2 linked regions of the Canis lupus familiaris genome follow. The protein of the gene in region 1 binds, or shares a complex with, the protein of each later gene. Links are inferred from orthologs where the notes say so. Each region holds a gene or a part of one and is shown in the gene's direction. Other genes may lie near its edges. The genes, in order: SPINDOC and SPIN1.

Region 1 (11,989 bases):
TGTTACAATCTGGGTATTTTTTTAAGATTTTATTTATTCTTTCATGAGAGACACAGAGAGAAGCAGAGACATAGAGGGGAAAGCAGGCTCCTCACAGGGATCCCGATGTGGGACTTGATCCCAGGACTCCGGGATCACACCCTGAGCCAAAGGCAGATGCTCAACCCCTGAGCCACCCAGGCATCCCACAATCTAGATATTCTTTTTGGTTGCTAACACACCATCATTTGTCAGTCAGTTCCTGTTGTTAGACATTGTGGTTATTTCTAGTATTTTACTGTTATATTCATTCAACCCAGAAATTCTTATGGTATTGATTGGCTGAGGGTTTTGTTTGCTTTTCACTTCTGCCTTCTTTTCCACCATTCTTCCCCTCATACAGAGCAGAGGTGGGCCAGTGGTTGGCATTTTCCGACTGTTGAATTCAGTGGTAGTTTAGCAAGTCAGTAAGAGCAGTTTACTGCTCTAGATTTACAGTGTGTATCCACTTCCCTAGACAGTGATTAATACTGGTCCTCAATAGGAACGGCTTCCAGAGATTCTCCTGTTGCCCACTAAGCTGATTCAGCTCATTTTCTGGCATCAAAGTGCAGGGCCAGAAGTCACTTGGTGATGTGAGTGTGTGGTGCAGAGCCCAGGGCAGGAAGCACATCCTGGCAGAGGAGGAGAAATGAGGCTTGAAATGTACAGAGCTAGAAGCTAGTCTATGGAAAGAGCAGCCACATCACCTGCCATGTGGGAAAAGTCCATCGACATGGAGAAAATAAGTCTTATATCCAGAAAGAGGCAGAGACCAGAGATGAAAAGAATGTCCCAGTGGCATTCCCGTGCTGGATCCCATCATTCCCAAAGCTTACCTGTGTCGCTGCCCTTCCCATGATGGGGCGTCCAGCACTTCCTTGAAACCCACAAGCCAACAAATCTCCCATTTTGTCTGAGCTACTTTGGGTTGACATTTTTGCAATGAGAGCCCGGACGTGCAGGCCCCAAGCTGGTGCTAATGCCCCAGATCCTGGGCCAATGCTGGAACTAGAAGATGGACAGAAAAATGACCCGCCCTCTAGGAGCCCAGAAACCACAGGGACTGGGACAAGCAAACAGATCATCATAGTATGCTGTGCCTAGTTTCATAGAGAGCTGGACCAGCTGGTTCAAGAGCCAAGAGAAGGGGACCTCTGACGACATGCAAGAACTAAGTAACATTTCACCTAGCACCTAGGAGTGAGAGTATACTAAGTTTTAGGGAATGAGTAGTTCAAGTGGCAAACACTGCCATGATATCTGTGTCAGGTCATTATTTTTCTTATTTTAGATGACTTCAGGTTAACACTTTAAAAAAAAAAGATTTTATTTATTTATTCATGAGAGACGCACAGAGAGAGAGAGAAGCAGAGACACAGGCAGAGGGAAAAGCAGGCTCCATGCAGGAAGTCCAACATGGGACTCGATTCCCAGACTCCAGGATGCTCCGGGTAGAAGGCAGGCACTAAACCGCTGAGCCACCCAGGGATCCCCACTATTTTTTTTTAAGATTTATTTATTTACTCAGTTATGATAAACATAGAGAAAGAGAGAGAGAGAGGCAGAGACACAGGAGGAAGGAGAAGCAGGTTCCATGCCAGGAGCCCGACGTGGGACTTGATCCTGGGACTCCAGGATCACGTCCTGGGCCAAAGGCAGGCGCTAAATCGCTGAGCCACACAGGGATCTCCCCCCACTATTTTTTTTTAAAGCAGGCTCCACAGAGTCCAATGCGGGGCTTGAACTCACCACCCTGAGATCACTGCCTGAGCTGAGATCAAGAGTCAGACACTTAACTGACTGAGCCACACAAGCACCCCTGTTGGCAATAGGATTACTGAGCCAAAGAGCATGGACAGATATTTATCATGACTTTAGCTGAAGATCACTACAAAATGCCAAGTAAGTTAAAGTGAAGCCACACATCCACCCTCTCACTCAGCCCTCAACAGCCCTCTCCACATTTAGAGCTTCATACAGCTTTATTTCCTGCAGCTTTTCACTCTCTGTCCGCGTGTCATCATTGGGGCCCTAGAATGCCACCAGTAGTAAAAGCTGTACCAAGAGGAAATGCTTCATCCCAACGTGGGCCTCCAGCCCAGGGGACATTACGGAGAGTGGCCCCGAGCAGCTGTTTGCTGGAACAGGCAATCCATTCCCATCTCTCTCATCTCCAGGCTGTCCTTCCTGTTTTCGGAATCTCATACTCCAAAGCTAAATTCACAAAGTCAAAAGATGAGTTACAGATGTACTTGTCTAGGAAATACGTTCCCTGGGCAGCCCGGGTGGCTCAGCGGTTTAGCGCCGCCTTCAGCCCAGGGCGTGATCCTGGGGTCCCTGGGTTGAGTCCCATGTCGGGCTCCCTGCGAGGAGCCTGCTTCTCCCTCTGCCTGTGTCTCTGCCTCTCTCTCTTTCTCTCTCTCTCTCTGTGTCTCTCATGAATAAATAAAATCTTAAAAAAAAAAATAAAAGTCTATGTCAAAATGTCACCAAGTCTGGAAGAGAACTTTAACTTAACTATAAAATATAACGTGAAGAGATAAGAAACTGTCAGAATTTGGCTTTTTTTAAAAAAAAATATTTTATTTATTTATTCATGAGAGAACAGAGAAAGAGAGAGAGAGAGAGAGAGGCAGAGACACAGGCAGAGGGAGAAGCAGGCTCCATGCAGGGAGCCCGACCCGAAACTCGATCCTGGATCTCCAGGATCCTGCCCTGGGCTGAAGGCGGCGCTAAACCACTGAGCCACCAGGGCTGCCCATAGACTTTTATTATATCATTTTTTCTCCAGTTCAAAGATCGCATTTTTAATTTGTTAAATTTTTTTTCAAAATTTTATTAAATTCTAGTTAGCATATAGTGGAATATTGATTTCACGGTAGAATTTAGTGATTCACCACTTACATACAACACCCAGTGCTCATCACAAGTGCTCTCTTAATGCCCTTCACCCATTTAGTCCCTCCACCCCACTTCCCTCCAACAACTCTCAGGTTGTTCTCTATTGTTAAGAGTCTTTTATGGTTTGCTTCTCTCTCTTTGTTTCTCCCTTCCCTATGTTCATCTGTTTTGTTTCTTAAATTCCACATATACACACACACACAAAAAAAAAACAAATTAAATTCCACATATGAGTGAAATACGGTATTTGTCTTTGACTGATTTATTTTGTTTGGTATAATACCCTCTAGCTCCATCCACGTTGTTGCAAATAGCAAGATTTCATTCTTTTTGATGGCTGAGTAGTATTCCAGTGTGTGTGTGTGTGTGTGTGTGTGTGTGTATACACAACTTCTTCATCAGTCAACAGACATTTGGGCTCTTTCCATAATTTGGCTATTGTTTATAATGCTATAAACATTAGGGTGCATATGCCCCCTTCAAATCAGTATTTTTATATCCTTCAGGTAAATATCTAGTAGTGCAATTCCGGGATTGAGAGCAGTTCTTTTTTTTTTTTTTTTTTTTTAAGGTTTCCATACTGTTTTCCAGAGTGGCTGCACCATTTTATATTCCTACCAATAGTGCAAAAGGGTTCCCCTTTTACCAAATCCTCACCAACATCTGTTGTTTCCTATGTTGTTAATTTTAGCCATTCTGAGAGGTGTGAGGTGCTATTTCATCATGGTTTTGATTTGTATTTCCCTAATGATGAGTGATGTTGAGTGTCTTTTCATGTTTTGGATGGCCATCTGAATGTCTTCTTTGAAAAAATGTCTATTCGTGTATATCACTCTTCATATACACAAAAATGAAAATGTATGCAAAATAAATTGGCTAACATTGTCAAAACCCTCTGACCAAAGACCACCAGGAACACAGCTGCTGTAAAAGAAAGTTAGGTTTATTTAACTTGTTGCTATAAAGGTAAAGGTACCCTAGGGAAGCCCTCACGTGAGTCTCTAAATTCAGGCTTGCACTCCAAGGTTCTGTGGAGGGATTAAGGAAGTGAGGGACCAGTTCTGGATTGAACGCTGTCAAAAAGCAGGGACAACTTAGAAACTAGGTATCTTTAAAACGTTCATCTAGGATACAGGAGGATGCAAGCAGAGCTGGAGTGATCTATGGTAAAGGAGCAGCAATCGCTTAGAGTCATCTTTGTGGTCACCAAGTGGCCTTGCCTATGTCGCATTCTGAGCATGATTTATTTCTGCTGGTAACATCACCATATGAATATCAAAAGAGCGATCTTAAAAAAAAAAAGAGCGATCTTAAACTGTCTTGATATTCCTTTTTTTTTTTTTTGTCTTGATATTCCTAAAACTTCACAGTGATGTCCATTATAGAAAGCATGCCCATACTAAGGATGTTAAAATGTAGAGAAAACACTCATTTTAGATTTGATGAAAAAGGATTCTTGCTTTTTTCCCTTGGGCAAGTAATTTACCCTTTAAGCTTCAACTTCCTACTCTGTTAAATGGGAACAATACAGTCTACTACATAAGACTTATGAGGACAGAGGCACCAGGGTGGCTCAGTGGTTGAGTGTCTACCTTTGGCTCAGGTCATGATCCCAGAGTCCTGAGATCGGTCCCACATCAGGCTTCCCGGAGGGAGCCTGCTTCTCCTTCTGTCCATGTTCCTGCCTGTGTCTCTCATGAATAAATAAAATCTTGGAAAAAAAAAAAAAAAAAAGGAAGAAAGGCTTGTGAGGACAAAGTGCCTTAGTATAGTATTGAGTGTATTACTCGGAGTCCAATGGGGGCAATAGGAATTACTCTAAGTAGGTAAAACAAAGAATTTAATGCAGGGAATTGGTGACACCAGTGACAGGGCTGAGTAGTCCAACAGGGGATAGAGAGGTAACCCAGAGATTAGCAATGACAGGACACTCCCATCACTTCTAAACTGGAGGAACAAATGGAGGAGATGGAATTAATGTAGCCTGGAAGTGAAGATCCTCCTCCAAAAGTTGGAACCATGGCAGCCTATCCAGTAAGAGCTAGAGCCACAGAGGAGCTTTATCTACAGCTGGAGACCTGCCCAAACCTGAGCAAGCGACAGAAAGAGAAGAAACACACTGGCTTTATCCTCCCTTCGATTTTCCAGTCTCCTGCCACTGGCTCCCAATGGCCTAACCCAGACCTGAAGGCCCCAGTCCTGGGAGCCTGGGGATCGGCCCCGCGCAGGGCAATGCAGAGGGGAGCAGGTCAACGAAGGGATCCCTGCAAAAGTTACTAGGTGATCATGAGGTAGAAATGACTTAAACCAGCTTGGTTAACACCTTTATTTGAAAAATCTTTAAAGTCCTGGATACTCTTGAAAGTAACAAAATTCTTCCCTTAAAGACCTATGGTCGTCCTGATAATACCGGTTCGTATCTGCCCTCCAACCTCCAACCTACTCCACACGTTATTCTGAATTCCTACTGAGTCTGGTCGGACGCGGTGGCATTTTAAGACGGATTTCCAGCGTCAGACATTTTCCCCACCCAAATCTCAGGAGAGTTTCTACAGCAGAGATGCCCATTCTACGTCACAGAGAGAAGAGCTCACCCAGGTTGCACCGAGCGGGATTATGATGCAGCCGCGTGTCACGGCCACTGGACCCTGGTCTCAGGGCTCTCAGGGATTCGTGTGACCTTGAGGAGGCTCCACATTTCTAGACTCACGTTAAAAAACAAAAAAACAAAACAAACAAAAAAAAGGCAATCCAAACCCTCCGGCGCGGTGCGCGCGCCCACCCTCCACTTGGCTCTTCCACCGTCGCCCCCCTCGTCCGGGAGGCTCCGCGGCGTTTTCGGAGAAAGGATGAGGTCGTCTAAGAAAACAGAGGGCGAGCCCAAGGTCACGGCGCCCGCGAGCCATCGGGGTCCCGTCCCCCGCCCGGGCCGCGGCCCTGCTCACCGCCCCGCCGCTGCTTTTCCCGCCTGGGCATCTCCCGGCGGGGGCAGGCTCGTTCGGGGAAGGCACCAGCGACCGCAGCGCCCCCGGGGCCCCGCGAGCGCTCTCGACGCGCGCCCAGGGGCCGGGGGCCGGGGGCCGGGGGCCGGGGGCCGGGGGGCAGCCCGGGGAGGGGCCCCCAGCGCGGGGTCTCGGGCCTCTCCCGGCCGGCAGCGCCCCGCCGCCCCCGCCGCCCTGCGGGTCCCGGGGAGGTAACGGAGCCGCGTGCCCGGGGCGGGGCCACGTGCGATTGGCCGCGCGGGGTCGGGGGCGGGCCCGCGGCGGGCCGGCCGGGCGGGCGCCGACAATGAGCCTCCATAAAAGGGAGCGGCGGGGGCCTGGGGCCCCGGATTGAGCCCTCCCCGCCCGGGGTCCCGACGCGCTCGGTCTCGGGGAGGCCCGGTCGCGCCCTCGCAGGCCGGGCGGTGAGCGGCGGGCGGCGGGCGGCGGGGAGGGGGCCCCTGGCGGCGCGCCCGGCCTCCCGCGTCCGGTCACCGCGTCCCCCCCCGCCCCCCGCCTCGGCCGCATCATGGCCCTGAAGGCCGAGGGCGCCGCGCTCGACTGCTTCGAGGTGACGCTCAAATGCGAGGAAGGGGAGGACGAGGAAGAGGCCGTGGTGGTGGCCGTGATTCCACGGCCCGAGCCGATGCTCAGAGGTGAGGCTGGAGGGGACCCCACTTCCGCGTCACGGCGCGGCCCGCGCGCCCCCTCCCCCTCCGGCCTGGGACCCGGGCGCCCCCTCCCCCGCTCTGGCTCCGCCCCCTCCGGGGTCTGGAATCTGGGGCCTCCCCGAATTCCCCCTCCCCCGCCCCCGTCCGGGGTCTGGAGCCTTCGATCCACGCCCCGCGCACTCCGGATCTTCCGGTGCCCGAGCGCCCCCTCGCCCGGGCCCCGCACCGGCGGCCGCGGCCTCCCGCCCCGCGGAGGCGGGGGCCGGGCTGCGGTCCAGGCCGAGGGGCAGCGAGGCCTCCAGGCCCGAGGCTGGGCGCGGCGGCCTGCTGTCCGGAGGGAGCTGGAGGATGCCGCCCGCCGAGGGGAGGATTTTCAGGGCCCTCCGCACGGAAAGCCTTCCTGTCCCCCAACCCCTCTTTGCATCTCCTGCCTAACACTTGAGTAAGCCACAGGTGTCAGATTCTAGCGCTTCGGGGGTGAATGGGATACAGCGCTTGCCAGGGGTACCCTCTGCCACGCAGGAAGGGGCTTGGCCTCAGGAGGGGATAGCAGGAACGGTCTGGGAACACTTGCTTTCCCCTCCCCCTTTACCAATTTCTTTAGTCCGCAGGATCTTGCAGACCATTAGAAAACAAAGGGCCGTCTAAACGGAAAACTTAATACTGGCGAAAATGCCAAAAAAAATCTTTTTCGTAGAAATGCGAACGTGTGTTTATTTTAAGATACCTCTTCCCATAAAGGGGATTGTACCCAAAAGAGAGAGTAAGGCCATTTATTTAATCCCCGCGGAACACGCTATCTCCGTGCACTGCCTCTCAGCCTTTTTGGAATCTGCAGGGTTTTAAAACAAGTCGAGGAAATGAAAGCTGCTGCCCTTGTCAGAGCTTTAGATCTAGCAGAGGTTCTTTTCCGTATTTGTGCTAGTATTTACTGAGTGCTGGATGCTAGGCTGCGTGAATTAATTGTTTCAACAACCCTTTAAGGGAGGCCCTATTCCCCACTGTTACGGTGGGGAAACAGAAGTCCGGAGAAGTTAATTCATTCAACAGGTTTTTATTAGTAGCACCTATTATAAACGAGGCAGTTTTAGGCTGGACATGCAAATGGTTATGAACAAAGATGTAACGTCTCATCTACATATACGTATAAATGAATGACCAAAGACAAACGTAATTCAGTGCATAGGGTGTCAGGTGCCGATAAGTGGTTCAGAGAACACCAGAGCAAAGGGAGGAGAAAATGGATTGGGAGGCGTTTTATTTGGAATATCAAGTAGTCAGAAAGGCTTCTTTTCCAATGTGAATTTTGAGCCCAGACTCCCAGGATGGGAGAGAACGAACCTTTGTGGATGATTGGAGGGAAAGCATCTTAGGCAGAGAGAATAGCAAGTGTAAGTGTCCTGAAGCAGAAGCTTTTTGAAAGAGTTTAGAGGAGAAAAGGATGAATTCAAGGCTTTTGACCTGAGCACCCAGAAGGACAGGCCTCCCGCATCCCAAGACCAGGCGACTAGGATGCAAGCGTATGAAGACAGAGAGTTAAGATTTGAATGGGGCGAGTTTGAGATGCCTGTGACACATCCAAGCTGTAAGGCCAGATAGGCATCAGACACATGCATTTCAGTGCCACTGGAGAGCGGCTGGTGGTATAGATACGGGAGTTGTCAGCCGCCAGGCAACGGGACAACACCTGTCAGAGGAAGGAGTTAGATAGGAGAGGTCTAAAAAACTGAACTGTGGAGCTCTCTCCAGTGACTGCAGGTTGGAGATTGAGTCAGTCCCTCATCAAAGATTTCTGAATGCCACTGCATGCCAGGCATTGTTTTTGATGCTGGAGGTCCAGGTGTGAACGATCCAAAGTCTTGCTGTCCTGGAGCTCACTGGGCAGTGGGGAGGCATGGTGCACAAGTAAAACACACGTTAGGTCTGATGGTGGTGTGGGCTGAGGAGCAGGACATGAGGGGTAAAGGGGAATCGGGTGTCCAGCTTTCTGCAGGAGGCAAGAGGGCTGTGGTAAAAAGATAGTTCTTCAGGCTATTCCTTGAAAGAGATGAGAGAGCTGCACAGGCACCTGAAAAGAGGTGAGGAGGACCCAGTACCAGCAACTGCAAGAGAGCCCCAGGGAAGAAAGGAATGAATCAACAGGAGGCAGTGCCTGGAAGCCAAGTAACAAAAACCTAGATGGAAGAAGTGACGAGCCAAATGATGAAATTTAAGAACTGACAGCCAGGTTTAGCTTTGGTGACCTTGACGGGAGTTGTTTCCGAGCAGTGGTGGGAAAGAAAGCCCAATGGCAGTCAAGAGGTCAAGGTTACTGTGCATGGTCACATGGGACATAGGAACAGCCCAGCCTCGGACCTGAATCTTCCGAGTCCTGGCCACTTCTCAGACCCGTTTCATATGCCACTTATCCATACGGTTCCCAGACGTCAGGGCCCCTCATATTTTACTTCATCCCATCTTCTCAGATGGGAAGGAGATGCGGTTACAAAAGAGCAAGGGGACTCTGCTGCAGAAGCATGGAGCTGCCAGGCTAATGGGGGTCCAAGGCTGCCTTTGTTGAACCGGAAAGAATTCCTGCCCTGCCAGAGCTTGTGGCCCATGTGCACAGGGAACAGATGCCAGGCAGACCCTTGGGAATGAGATCACCCCTGCAAATGCTCTGGGAGGTGGGAGAGGGATTGTGATGGGGTGTGGCAGCCTTCTGAAGGGTCCTTGCCAGGTGGAGAAACAGGCATGCCTGTTCTTTGCTGACTGCAGGCTCCCGGAGCATCTCCTAGGTGGCAGGCCCTGTGGGGGCAGTGAGACAATCAGATGTTCTCAAGAAAGTATGCAGCATGGCCTGGAAGTCAGAGGTGGATATAATCAACCGTCAGGGTGGGAGGTCCCAAAGGCTTCCCAGGAGTGACAATGTGAGCAAGGCCATAAAGGAAGTGTAGGAATTTGTCAGACCAATCAGAATGGTCTAGATGAATGTGCCAAAGCTGAAGACCTGCAAGAACACAGCCTGTTGGAAACCCTGTGGTCTGGAGCCAGATTGAAAGGAGATATACAGGGGATCCCTGGGTGGCTCAGTGGTTTGGCGCCTGCCTTTGTCCTGGGACATGACCCTGGAGTCCCGGGATTGAGTCCCACGTCGGGCTCCCTGCATGGAGCCTGCTTCTCCCTCTGCCTGTGTCTCTGCCTCTCTCTGTCTCTCTTTCATGAATAAATAAATAAAATCTTTAAAAAAAAAAAAAAAGCAGATACACAGATAGTGGGATGCCGATGCACACAGGTTGCGTTTAGTATGGTTAGTGCCTCGCGGGCTGCAGGGGAGAGGAGAGAGAGAGACTTGGGGTAAGAATGTGCCTCCCTCCGCCCTCCAGCCCTCCACCAAGTTTGGGGAATCATGTAAGTATTCTAGGCCATGGGTACCTCTACTGGTAACATCCTCCTGCACGTCTCCCTCTGTAGTGGCCCAGCAGGAGAAGACCCCACCGCCTAGGCCCAACCTGCTGGAGGCAGGCAGCGATGGCTGTGAGGAGCCCAAGCAGCAGGTGTCTTGGGAGCAGGAGTTCCTTGTGGGAAACAGCCCCGGAGGCAGCGGGCGGGCACTGTGCATGGTGTGTGGGTCCGAAATCCGGTCCCCCTCTGCCGACACGGCGCGCATGCATATCCTGGAGCAGCATCCTCACACCCTGGACCTGAGCCCTTCAGAGAAAAGCAACATCCTGGAGGCCTGGAGTGAGGGAGTGGCCCTTTTGCAAGACATCAGAGCTGAGCAGCCTTCCTCGCCCACCTCAGGTAGTTGGAAGTGAGGGTCGGGTGGAGGATGAAGGGAAAAGTCGGACTCACAGAGCACTTGGAACTCACTGGGTGTTTGCCTTCTTCAGACTCAGGCCAGGATGTCGAAGCTGACCCGGACTCTGACCCAGACCCTGCCAAAATGCCAGCAGAGATCGTTGTTCTCCTCGACTCTGAGGACAACCCATCTCTCCCGAAAAGGAGCCGGCCCAGGGGACTCCGCCCCCTCGAGCTTCCTGGTCAGTTTTTGGGAAGCCCTTGCGGCTGAGCTGGGGAGAGGGGAGTGCGCATTCTGTGTTCTGTGTGACGAGAGGCTACAGGGCCCAGGCGTGGCCCCTTTCAAAGGTACAAGGTCTTCTCATTCTGTAGCTGCCCCTGCCTCAGAGGCAGGAAATAGGAAGCCCCGTGGTCAGAGATGGAAGGAGCCCCCTGGAGAAGAACCGGTCAGAAAGAAAAGAGGCAGACCCATGACCAAAAACTTGGACCTGGACCCAGACCCTGACCCAGGTGAGGGAGAGGCCCATGACGGGCGTGGGCTCCAGGCGCAGTGCTCCAAGAGGAAAGTCACGCCAGGGCAGGGGGGCCGTCCAGGCCTCTGGACTCTGGCTTCAGTGGCCATAGGCAGCACAGCCTTACAGACTCTGTTCTATCCTGTCCTTCCTTCCAGACCCCCCATCACCTGACTCACCCACGGAGACTTTTGCTGCTCCTGCTGAGGTCCGTCACTTCACCGACGGCAGCTTCCCCCCGGGCTTCGTCCTCCAGCTCTTCTCTCACACACAGCTCAGGGCCTCAGACAGCAAGGACTCACCCAGAGAAGGGGTTGCTGCAGGAGGCCTTCCCCAGCCAGAAAGCCCCTCTCCAGGTGAGCTCCTGGGAGGGGACGACAAGGGTGGGTCGGAGAGAGCCAGGCTACATCCCTGGGGTCTGGCCTCCTCAAGGCTGCTCTGCAGCAGAGCCTGGGATACAGGTGGTTACTGCTCAGGGCCCCTGAGACGCGGGGCCGAGGGCGGGCAGACCAGAATGGTGGGGACTGGCCAGCAAGCTGAGCCGCTCTGTTAGCTCCTGGGGAGTGTCCTGGAGTTGGTTGTTAGGTTGGGCTAAGCCAGTACTCCCCAGAGCCTGACACCCATCAGCACACTTATGGCTGATTCCTCCTGGAACCCGAGGTGCCTAGCTCGCCCTGGTGGAGCCAGGGCCCGAGTGGGACTGGAACAGAACAGACCCCTGGTCAACTCGGCAGGCACCTCCGTAGAGAGCAGCTCAGTGACTTTTGAATGATAGCATGAAGTGCTTGCGTTTGTATCATGTTCAACCAATTTCAAGAAACTTTTCTATGTAGTTCATCTGGCCCTTAGAAAAGTCTGTTTTCCGCATGGGAAGGTGGAGTCTCAGCTGGTTCTTCCCTCCCTTGATCCTTGTATTCGTTTCCTGTGGCTTCTATGACAAACTACCACAAATCTTAGTGGCTTACAAGAATACACTTTATTACTTTTCAGTTCTGGAAGTCAGAGGTCTAGAATGGGTTTCATCCATCTAAAATCGGCAGGGTCCTATTCTTTTCCAGAGGCTCCAGCAGGGGGTCGCTGGGGGGTAATCCATTTTCTTGTCCTGCCCAGCTTCTTAGAAGCG
Region 2 (11,474 bases), on another chromosome or scaffold:
TGCCTGTCCACAGTGGGTACATGGGGAGCCCTGTGGCTGCCATGCCATGTGCACATGGGGTGCACATGTGCACATGGCACCCCATGGGGGTGGGGGGCTCACCTGTAGGCACCTGGACCGGGAACATGGCACCGTTAGCCAGCGCAGGCCTGGGATTACCTGGAGGAGAGCATGCTAGCTAGCGGTAGCATTGGATCGAGGGGTGCATACTTCTGAGATGATCCCTTACGTGTGTATATGTGTGAATGCAGAAAACATCGGAGCAGTGTGGGGCCGAGCAAACCTGTTTCCCAGCCCCGGCGGAACATCGTAGGCTGCAGGATTCAGCATGGGTGGAAGGAGGGGAATGGCCCTGTCACCCAGTGGAAAGGAACCGTTCTGGACCAGGTGCCTGTAAATCCTTCTTTGTATCTTATAAAATACGATGGATTTGACTGTGTTTATGGACTAGAACTTAATAAAGATGAAAGAGTTTCTGCGCTCGAAGTCCTCCCTGATAGAGTTGGTAAGTTCTCTTTACTATTTGTGCGTTGTATGCTTTAAAAATGATTATCGAAATGGATGCTTTTTGATGATTCTTTTGCATTATTGGTGTTTTTATTTTTACTGGAGTGCAGGCACTCCCGGTACACAGTTAAGTCACTGAAAGCACAGTCCAGGGAACTGTTAGGGATGTAAAGATGTATCAGGTTATTGGTGAAGAAATTGACAATCTGATCATTTCTAACATGGTTATTTCCTACATTTTGCTCACTGTTCATGTGGACTCTGATGGGTAAGAATATTTTATTAGCTCAACTATGCTGTGTACTTGTTTCATCAGACTGTGGTAGCTTATGCCTTTATTAGAAGCCTTATGTGAAGTGTAGTTTTCATCGTGTAATGTCAGTGGCATTGCATTTGCAGCCACACCTGAGGCAGCCACCCCCTGTTTGCATTGACTGTGGGAGGGAGTCTTTAAATGTCCCCCTGATGTGTTCCTCAAGACACAAGGTGTCCGTTAAATAATAATGACTGATTTTATCCTTAGGAATGAAGTAAAATGTTATTGTTAAGATCATCTGCATTAACCTTACTTTCTTCAGAGTGTTCACTTTGAAATGTTTCCTTATTACAGTGATGCTACTCGTGTACGAGCATATATCTGTTTATGCTTTTGGAATGGTCTTTAGAAGCTTCCGTGTTAACAAACCCCATCCCAGCAGAGGTGGACCTGGAGGGGCCAGGTTGTCAAGAGATGGCGCTCCTCAGTCCCCTGTCCCCTTTGTTCTTGCCCCTGTGTTCTTAGGACACACACTTCCCTCACCAAGTTAATTCTTTGCCAGGTCAGCAGGTTTCTTGTTGGTGTTCCCTGAGGATAGCAGTGCTGTGTATTTGTCTTTGTCAGGACAGCTCAGTTCTCACAGAGATCTTGCTTTCCATCTTTCTTATCCGTTTATTCAAGGTACCTCACTGAGCGGTGTTGCATCTTCGGCACCTGTCATATCTTCACCTGTTCCTGAGCGCCCCCCACCCCCCCGTAGGATGCCATGGTTTCTTCTTGATCCCCATGTGCACCCATTTCCAATGTAGGACACAAACATCAAAGAGTCTTACCTTCAGGTGTTGAAAATGTCCAAACCTTTATATCCATTGTCTGTGCTGGGTAGTGATCACATATTCTTGTGACCCAGAAGTTTAGTCTCCCTCCTTCCTGGGGCGAGGCTGCCAGCCCACGTGAGATTACCTGCATTCTGCTGCGTGGCCTGTGCCAGATCTCCTGAGTTCTTCTGCCATTGTAGGACAGAGGAAGTCCTTTTATGTTGGTAAAAACATGGTTTGAGCAAACCAAAATAGCCCCAAATCTCTAAGTATTTATGGTGATGGACTCAGAGTGCCTCCTGTTTTTTTGGCAGTTCCCAGCAGGAGGCAGGGTTGCTTTTCTAGAGTCTTACCAAGGAAATACAAAGGCTGCTATGCAAGCCAGGGTATCGCGTGCTGACTTGAATTGCTAGTTAATGTCGGTATTCCCTGTGGACCTCAGTCTGGAAAGCTGTGTAGCGGTCACTCTCATTCCACTGGGAAGGAGGCAGTGTTCATGGTCTGCATCACTCAGCAAACACAGCATCTTCTCTATGGGACCAGATCATGTGCTGGTAAAGGATCCATTGGACGATCAACAGGTTGGTTTTGTGGTGGTGAGAAAACATGTGACCTGCAGTTCGCTACCTTGATTATTCTTAAGTGTCCATAATTAAGCGAGTGTTTAGTTGTGTCCACACAGTCATGGAGCAGGTCTCCAGAAAGTCTTCATCCTGTTGGCCTGTAGCTCTGTCCCTCTTTACCACCCCCCCCTTCTCCGTGGTGTTGATCACCTGAAATGCCTCCTAAATGGGATTGTAGAGTATTTGTGTTTTTGTGACCTCACTGCGCCCTTGCAGTTGCAGCACCCCCTTCTCTCTAGGGCTGCACCATGCCTCCGTGCTCACGTGCACCCCTTCTGTGCCTCCCGCCCTCTGTGGGGCTGCGGGGGGTGATGCTGCTGTGGAGGTGGTGGGCCCCTGCTTTCCTGTCCCTCGAGGACAGTGCCCCAGGTGGAATTGCTGGGGTGTCCCTGTGCTGTTCTTCACAACGCTCGTAGCATCTTGGGTTCCCAGCTGCAGGCACAGGCTCTGGTTTCTCTCCTGTCCTCCCCAACCCTTGGCGTGCCCTGTTGGGTGTTTTTTTTTTTTTTCGTTTGTGTTTTATTTTTTTAAGATTTTATTTATTCATGAGACACAGAGAGGCAGAGACATAGGCAGAGGGAGAAGCAGGCTCCATGCCGGGAGCCCAATGCAAGACTCGATCCCAGGACTCTGGGATCATGACCTGAGCCGAAGGCAGACATTCAACTGCTGAACCCCCCAGGCGTCCCTCTCTGTCATTTTTTTTTTTTTTAAAGATTTTTTTATTTATTCATTCATGAGAGAGAGAGATAGAGAGGCAGAGACACAGGCAGAGGGAGAAGCAGGCATCATACAGAGAGCCTGATGTGGGACTCGATCCAGGGTCTCCAGGATCATGCCCTGGGCTGCAGGCGGCGCCAAACCGCTGCGCCACCGGGGCTGCCCCCTCTCTGTCAGTTTTGATGTGAGTCTCCCTGACATTTAGTGATGTTGAGCATCTTCTCACATGCTTTTCGGCCACTTGTCTGTCATCTCTGCAGAATCTATTCGGATCCTTGCCCATTTTCCATCAGATTATTTTTTTTTGCTGCTGAGTTGTAGAAGTTCTTTATCTCTTCTGGAGACATTTTTATTGTGACTGTGACAGGTTTGCTGATAACAATTCCAGATTCTGCACCACACTTAACCATGAAGGAGCTACCACATGTTGATTGTCAAGTAGCATCATAGGGGAGCATCTGGTTTCCTGAAAAGCCCCTTTTCAGCAGCAGGGCTTTGTGAGGTTGGATTTTGTGTGTCCACTGGAAGAGCATGTGACTGATTACTGGAGCATATAGGACAACCTGGCTGCCCTGTAGAGCTGGGTATCAGGAGGTGTACAGAGATGTGAAGCTACACACTTCCTACTACATTTTTATAAGAAGATATAGTTATTTTTTGTTAGAAATGAATTCTGTAGATTTGTCATTTATAATTTCCAACAGCTGATTCTGATAGCTATCCATATGCTAAAGTGCATTTTTAATATTTATTTATTTATTTATTTATTCATTCATTCATTCATTCATTTATTTATTTATTTTTGCTAAAATGCAGTTTTAGATCCTCAGAAATATTTTAAGAATATAGGAGTCTGGAGATCGAACTTTGAGAACTTCTGGCCCAAAGAGTGTAGTAGGCTTTGTTTTAGTGTGCGGTGGGGAATTTTGTGTAATTTTGGAGAATTCCTGCATGTGTAAGTGGAGAGAACCACCATATGTGCTTGGAGTGTCCTTCTAATAAAATTAGGTAACAGTATCTTGAGCAAGAAATTACAATCTGTTCCTTTGAATTTTAACAGAAATAGAAGCGATTATGAATGAAATAGAAGTGCTAATTTGTTTTTAATGACAGTTGTCTAAAATGTGAGGACAAGAGAAATCTTTGCATCATTAGGATCCTTCATGATTTTCCCACTATTAATAAAAGGAAGGTTGTGATTGTCCGCCTGCCTCTTCACACAGAGCAGGCCTGAGAATTAGTTTGTACGGTAGTTGTTGACGCCCTGGGGTCTCAGTGTGGGAATGCAGACGCTGTCTGAGCCAGGAACAGGATCACTGCAGGTGATGCCAGGTGTCATTAGGGAATAAGTAAAGTGGAGGACACGACAGGTGGCTGGTGTGGGGCTGATCTCACCTTGTGGTCCTGGAGACAGAGGAGCCTGGTGGGAAGGAGAGAGAGGCCCATGGGGGCAGAGGGACAGGCCAAGAAGGGAGGCTGCCAGGCCCAGGGAAATGGTTTGATTTTCACATGACCAGGTGGAAGCACTGGGGCATTTTAAGCCAAAGCGCTGGCTGCCGTGACTGATGCCAGGCGCAGTCTGGTCACCATGCATATGAGAGTCCCCTCTCTGGCCTGGCATGGGTGAAATTTCTTAGCTTGCATCCCCTGGCTTGTGTTACCCAGGTGTTAATAAAGGGAAGTGGGGTGACGGTGTATGTGACCGCTCCTGCTCTGCAGTTAGAGTGAGGCTGTGATTACTCAGTATATAAAGTAACCATTAACACTAAACACTTTATACCTCGAATAAAACCATTGGAAGTTCCAGGTAGAATCAGTGTAGGGCAGAGGAGTGCAGGAGAAGAACCAGGAGCTGCCTGGGGACAGAACCAGGAGGTGCCATGGGAGCCCGTGCTCTGGGCCCCCAGCAGTACTGTGGGCCTGGCCCCTGCTGCCTCCTGCTGGCCCTTGTGCCACTACTGTGGTGCGTGGACCACGTCTCAGGCTGTCCCTCTGCCGGAGCTCAGTCTCCACAGTACGGATCTTGTAAAACCCCCATGTGAACCGTTGTTTGCTTCTTGTCCACAGCGACTTCTCGAATCAGTGATGCACACCTGGCCGACACGATGATCGGCAAGGCGGTAGAGCACATGTTTGAGACGGAGGATGGCTCCAAGGACGAGTGGAGGGGGATGGTCCTAGCGCGCGCCCCTATCATGAACACGTGGTTCTACATCACCTACGAGAAGGATCCCGTCTTGTACATGTACCAGCTCCTAGATGATTATAAAGAAGGCGACCTTCGCATTATGCCCGATTCTAGTAAGTGTACATTGGCAATCTTTGTTTCTGATAATTCCAAAGGAACTTGAATTTTAGAATGAGATATTTGATGATCTATTTTTGTACATGTATCTTATTTTATTTTGATTTTTATTTTAATTTGAGGGTTAAATTATTCTTCTAGTCATGCACCAAGCATAGGTTGTGAAGTTTTGCATTTTTGCCTCAAGTCCTGTGCTTTCTATTTGGGTGTCCTATCCTGGGTGTGGACTTGTCCGTGGGTGGAGTGTGTCATGTAGACTCCTCGTGAGTGACTTCCTTATTAGCTCAGCATTTTCAGGGCTCATCCGTGTTGTGGCAAGTGTCTGTGCTTCATTTCTTTTAATGGCCAAGTACAATTGCACTGTATGCACGTTTATTCACCCATCCACTGATGGGCACGTGTGTTGTAGACCACCTCTTGGTGATGATGAAGGATGTTGCTGTAAACCTTTGTGTGCAGGTTTCTCAGTGGACGTTTGTTTTCAGTTCGCCTGAGTGCTTGCTGAGGACTGGGACCGTTGGGTGTGTGGTCACTGCTGAATCTTTGGGGAACCGCCAGACTGGTTTTCGAGACCGCTGTACCCTTCTCCATGCACGTCAACTGTGTCTGAGGGCTCTGACACAAACACTTCGTGTTACCTGACTTTTGGCTCTAACTGTCCTGGTTGCGAAACACTACCTCACCATGGGCTTGGTTTACATTTCCCTGACCGCTACAGACACCAGGCGGCCTTCTGTGTGTTACTGGCCGTTTCTATGTCTTTTTTGGAGAAGCCTATTGGTGCTGTCTGCCTGTTTCTCGTCACCGCCATTCTGTTGCTGTGTTTATCAAGTCTGGGTCTTGGTGCGGATCTCCTGACGTGTAGGATTTGCAGACACTTTCTCATATTCGGTGGGTTTCTTTTCACGGTCTTGGTGGTGTTCAAAGCACAGAAGTTTTTCATTGTGACGAAGGCCACTTTAGTTTTCCTTTTGTACCTTGTGCTTTTGGTGTTGTGTCTGACAGTCTTTGCCAAGGCCAAGGTCAAGGTCATGATGACCTACCTCTTTCTTTTCTTTTACGGGTCTTGTAGGCATTGCTCTTACATTTAGATCTTTGAAATGTTTTGCATTAATTTTCATGATGTGCTGGAGGGTCCACCTTCATTCTGCGTGTTGTCTGAGCACCATGTTGTGGAAAGACTTGTTTCCCTGCTGGTGGTGGAAAGAAGCTGGTTGTGGATGGACAGCTGTGTTCCTGGGCTTTGGGTGCTGCTCTGTGTGCCTGTGCCTCGGGGGACATGTGCCACACTCGGTTACCCGGCTCTGGGGTAAGTTACGATGTTGGGCAGTGCTGAATCCTATGTTCTCTCTCAGGATTGTTTGGATTTTTCTGAGTTCCTTGCGATTTCATGAATTTTGGAATCAGTTTGTCAGTTTCTGCAAAGAAGTCAGCTGGGACTCAGAGGGGGATTGAATCTGATTATCTTGACAATATGAAGCCTTCTAACCCGGGAGCACAGGAATACTCTCCGCTTTGCTGAGATTTACAGATGTCTATCAACAGTGTCTTGACGTTCTCAGAGTAGCAGTTTTGTACTTCTTTGTTAGGTTTTATTCCTGAATTTTGTGCTCTTTTTGATACTGTTATGAATGAAATTATTCTCTTAATTTCATTTTTGGGTGGTAAGCCTGTTCTTTTTTAAACTGCTCCATAGCCTTGCCTCCAGCACTGGGCTCCCAGGCCTGGATGGGGTGACAGCATGTCTGTTCTCGTTGGGTTCTTCCTCCAGCACTTGTGCTCATCTGGCCCTGACTTTCTACCTTCTTTGTCTTAGGGTTTGTCATAAGTCTGTAATGGAAAATATTTATATGGGCAGGAATTTAATTATCAGGAGAGTGTTCCTTAAGAGCACTTCTCCAGCCTATATGAAGTTGGGTTTTTAACTTTTTTGTAGAAAAGGACCCACAGTAAGGACTGCTGCCTCACTGCTGGAAAGCGTGGGCCTTTGCATTGTGTGTGGTGTCCCCCAGACCCCCTTGCCCTTTCAGTCTTTTCCTCCCATCCCAAACACTGCTTCAGCAAGTGTTTGGCCCACAGTGATGATGCTCCGGTGTGAGTGCTGTGCAGGGGCCTCTGTGCGGGGGGCTTCGGCGAGAGGCCCTGACATCCTGCTGGGGTTGCTGAGGTGGCGGCCGTCCCAGCTCCTAAAGCTCTGTAAGCTCCCAAAGCTCTGTAAACTGGAGGTGTTCCTAAAGTGAGGTGGGCTTGGCGCCACTGCCTGGCAAGGGAACAGTGTGTGGTTTGGCCCTGTGGCTTGGCCAGGCTTCCTTGCTCAGAGACCCGCTGAAACAAGGCTGGGCGTGGGCTGGTCGAGGTGGCAGGCTCAGGGCTGCGAGACTGAGGGTGCTCCATGTGGTGTGAGCAAGGCGCCTGGGGTGGGAGGCCGGTGCTGCTCCTGGCTGAAGAGTTCGCCGCACCTGCCCTGCTGCTCCCAGCTTCGCCATGGGAGCCGGTGGTCGCTTGTTGCTGTGCTCCGAGCCGTTCTCGCCCAGGGTGGCGTGGCGTGGCTTTGCCAGGGTCACCCAACAGGCCCCGGGCAGAGGGGACCTCTGTCATCTTGGGGGACCCGGGGGACCCGTTGTGATTGGTCTGGGCCGGAGGGTGGCGCTGGGCACCTGTGTTCAGAGCGCGGGAACTCATATCAGAGCACGGGAACTCTTACTCAGAAGCTGAGCTGGGGGAGACTGTGTGGTGGGGTGACCTGGGAAAGCCCAGGAGGGTGTGTCTTCTCAGCGTCCCAGGGGGCGCTATTACCAGTGGCAGGTCCTGTGGGGCTCGGCTTTTCCCTGGTCTTGCCCTGCTGAGCCCTCACCTCTCATTCTCAGCTGTTACTACACAGGAGCCATGGGAATTTCTGCTTATGATTTTCAAAATCCTTTACCCACCCTGGTCCTGGGGGGCGGCACACTGTTTTAATAAATAAAGTTTTACAGGCATACAGCCACACCTTTCATTTAGGCACCCCCGCGACTGCTCCCCTGTGACTGGCAGAGCTGAGTAGTCTGTGCAGACACCGTACAGCCTCAAGCCTCACATATTTACCATCTGGCCCTTGAAGAAAACATTGCCGACTCTTGCCCTAGATAATCAGGGATGTGAAGTTTTTAAAAAATTATTATGAAAATAGACATGTGAATTGGTACATACCTAAAATTTGACTTTAAATTCTTTTCTTTCCCCTCTTTAACACAGATGATTCTCCTCCAGCAGAAAGGGAACCAGGAGAAGTTGTGGACAGCCTGGTAGGCAAACAAGTGGAATATGCCAAAGAGGACGGCTCTAAAAGGACTGGCATGGTCATTCATCAAGTGGAGGCCAAACCGTCTGTCTATTTCATCAAGTTTGATGACGATTTCCATATTTATGTCTACGATTTGGTGAAAACATCCTAGATGTCATCATGAACTTTGCCAAATTTGTGGAACTATTAAATGTATAATTTGTAGACATAAAGACTTGATTGCTTTCCAGTTTAATGAAAGCTTAAATGTCCCTGCGAACCCACAATCTCTGCCAGCAGAACTGGTTTTGTTCTGAATAGTACAGATTTATGTGAACACAAAGCATTTTGTGTAAGGAACTCCTTCCTCTTAAAAGAAGTCTGTGTGTCTGGAGGGGAGTTAAGGCAAGTTTGGTGCAAGTTAAGCTAGCATTGCGGTCGTATAGAACTGTACTGGATCGTCCCCAGCTCCCCGTCACCATAGCTCTCCTTCTCTGCTGCCACACTGCAAGCGTAGTTTGGTACTGTCGGTACTGCCTTCTTTTTTGAGACGTGTATGTATCTCTATCTACCTGTCCAGCTCTGTGTGTGTCCATATGCACTACGCGCGCACGCACACACACACACACACTCTTCCTTGGCAGTCCTTTCTTTGTGGATTGGGGTGGGGGTTCAATAATATTCTCCAGTTTAACAGGAGTGCTTGTCCTAAGTCAGTCCTATTTTGTATATTACTGCTGTCTATTTAAAATTAAATGTGGGCACAGGAGACAACATCAGGATGTTCAGCATGTTCTGGAAGTCGGAAGTTCAGACACTGTTTCAGTCTGGAGGCTTTAAATCATGAGTCCAAATATAAATCCCTTGAGAACAGTTGCTGGACCCACATTAGAATTCAACAAAACATTAGAAATCTGGGTCAAAAGCTGCCTTTAATTCTAAGCTTTGTAAATTTTTGTTTACATATTTTTTAATCATAAATCCTCTTTCTGTTTTAAAGCAAAGCCCAGGTACTTGTGCACACACAGTGGTGCAGGTGTGTTTTGGGTGGCCCAAGCGGTCCGTTCATGTGTACAAATCAGTCTGGATTCTAGTACGTGGATCTGAGAGGCAGCAGTGCATCAGTGGTTTGTGTGTGTGTGGTAAGTTCCTGGCAGAACCTAGTGCTTTTATATTAGAAATACAAGTTTCAGAATGGTGTTGCCGCCTGCCAGCAGGTTCTCTGGAACACTTATTTTTATTACTGTTCTTACTGGTACATGGTTGTGGTCAGAAGGCTTTTCCCCACAAGAGGATCTAGATGCACAACAGCCAGGTCCCCGGCCGCCTTCTGTGGTGCTGCACGGTCTTGCTCCTCGAGTGCTGTTGATGTGGGCTCTCCCCATCCAGGGGCCCTGCCACGTCAGGGCCGGTCACTGCGCTAGCCCCCGGGTGTGCCTGGAAGCAGCCCATGGCTGCACGACCCTCTCGTGGCTGATTCCCACAAGGTGGGCTTCACCGGAATAGACCCGCAGAGGTAGTTAGTGTGCCAGCGACACGGCCATCTGTCCCTTTGTTTTGGATGAGCCCTGACCGTACGAAAGCCAGGAGAGAGGCAGGACGTCAGACCAGTCTCTTGTGGAGATTGGAAAACTTGCCTGAGTTCTGGGAGTCAGCTCCCAGATCGTGAGGCCTCAGAGACTCTGTAGCTGTGGCCTCGGAATGCATGTCTGCATGGCGAGGCTGTGTGCTGTGGTGCTGTGGGGTGGTGACCTCGCGCGCTCTAGCAGGGCAGCGCCCGGCCTGTGTAGGTTGTCTCCCTGTGGTGAGCACCTGGTCTCAGACGCTCCTCCTGCTTGAACAGGGGTCATGCTGCACACCTGTCACCTCCTTCCCTGGAGGCTCTCGTCACAGTCCCTGCATGCGAATCTCCAGGCTGGGCCCAGCTCCCAAGCGCATGTGGACACGTGTGCCCAGAGAGTGGGTATGCCCAGCGTGTGCACCCAGACGTGATGAGGTGGCTTCAGGCTGAAAACCAGTGTTCTTGGGAAGTGTCCTGAGGGTTGGGTCACTTGGTGACTTGCATTGGGGTTTTCCTGCAAGTACCTGTAGCAGCTTCAGTACTACGTGGTGTGCCACTCCCCAGACGAACGTGACGCGTGACGATCACCGTTATGTTAATCAGTGTTCCATGTGTTGCCTTTAGGGTGGAAGGAAGGGGAAGGGGTTTTTTTGTTGTGTTCTTTATTCCCCCCATTCTTTTTACTTTTGGTGGCTCAGCCCACACTTGCGCGGTGACTGACTGCACTCCCTCGCCCGGTATTTCAGGCTTCGTTCTAGGCTCACGTTTCAGATCTGCATGCATTGCTTGCCTTTTCCTGCTATCAGAATGTTGGTTCCTTGTTCTAGGAGGCCAACATGAGTTTCCAAAATTATCGTGGGACTTGTGACCACACAAGACCTGAACCTGTATAAAATGTCCCGGCCTTCCTCACTGACCTGCTCTAGTGTTCTCGTGTCGTGTGCGTGTGACGTCCGGCTGCCACGTGAAGCTTCCGAGGAGAACCTTAGACGCAGACCATCCTTTTTTGCATGCTCTATTCTAAGTAGGATGTTCAATGTAACTAACTGAACTTGCATGTGAAAGATATTTAGGTTTTTTGTTTTCTATCTTTGTTTTTATTTGTTTTCAGTTTTCTGTATATTTGCTTCCTGTGCCGTTTTAGTGGTCGTAGGATGAAAGTGCACTGGCGAAGCCATGCAGTGCCAGCAGCAGGTGACTTCCCAGCTCTGTCGTGCAGCATTTGAAGGGACTGTGCATTCTCGAAGCCTCACAGTTACTTCTAAGCCAGAGTTCATTCCTGTCCTTGTTTTACGTGCCAAACCCCGAAGTGCATTGGGCTTGAATCTCTGAACGCTGTGGACCCATTAGAGGACTGTTCTGATTGTCACAAATTGTAGTGCCTGAAAACATTCTTAAGCTGATTGTCTTAAAAAAAAAAAA

The links.
Region 2: the proteins of SPINDOC (region 1) and SPIN1 are in contact, whole or in part, in a crystal structure (PDB 7CNA), measured with the Homo sapiens proteins. The link is inferred for Canis lupus familiaris from reciprocal best matches to the Homo sapiens genes SPINDOC and SPIN1. Residues at the interface, in NP_612480.1 of Homo sapiens: Phe256, Ala258, Pro259, Ala260, Val262, His264, Phe265, Thr266, Asp267, Ser269, Phe270, Pro271, Gly273, Phe274, Val275, Leu276, Gln277, Leu278, Phe279, Ser280; in NP_006708.2 of Homo sapiens: Met154, Thr169, Tyr170, Glu171, Pro174, Pro206, Val209, Val210, Leu213, Lys216, Gln217, Val218, Glu219, Tyr220, Thr229, Val232, Val242, Tyr243, Ile245, Phe247, Asp249, Asp250, Tyr254, Val255, Tyr256, Asp257, Leu258, Val259, Lys260, Thr261.

What each region holds. Positions count from the first base shown.
Region 1 is NC_049239.1:53,688,577-53,700,565, reverse strand, and holds the start of SPINDOC (spindlin interactor and repressor of chromatin-binding protein), read left to right. Parts: upstream 1-6,386; 5' UTR 6,387-6,432; coding exon 6,433-6,559; intron 6,560-6,867; exon of another isoform or gene 6,868-7,015; coding exon of another isoform or gene 7,016-7,016; intron 7,017-10,027; coding exon 10,028-10,357; intron 10,358-10,446; coding exon 10,447-10,596; intron 10,597-10,726; coding exon 10,727-10,864; intron 10,865-11,024; coding exon 11,025-11,222; intron 11,223-11,526; coding exon of another isoform or gene 11,527-11,534; exon of another isoform or gene 11,535-11,989. UniProt on the Homo sapiens protein: Chromatin protein that stabilizes SPIN1 and enhances its association with histone H3 trimethylated at both 'Lys-4' and 'Lys-9' (H3K4me3K9me3).
Region 2 is NC_049222.1:98,070,362-98,081,835, reverse strand, and holds part of SPIN1 (spindlin-1), read left to right. Parts: intron 1-251; coding exon 252-505; intron 506-4,991; coding exon 4,992-5,225; intron 5,226-8,463; coding exon 8,464-8,663; 3' UTR 8,664-11,474. UniProt on the Homo sapiens protein: Chromatin reader that specifically recognizes and binds histone H3 both trimethylated at 'Lys-4' and 'Lys-9' (H3K4me3K9me3) and is involved in piRNA-mediated retrotransposon silencing during spermatogenesis.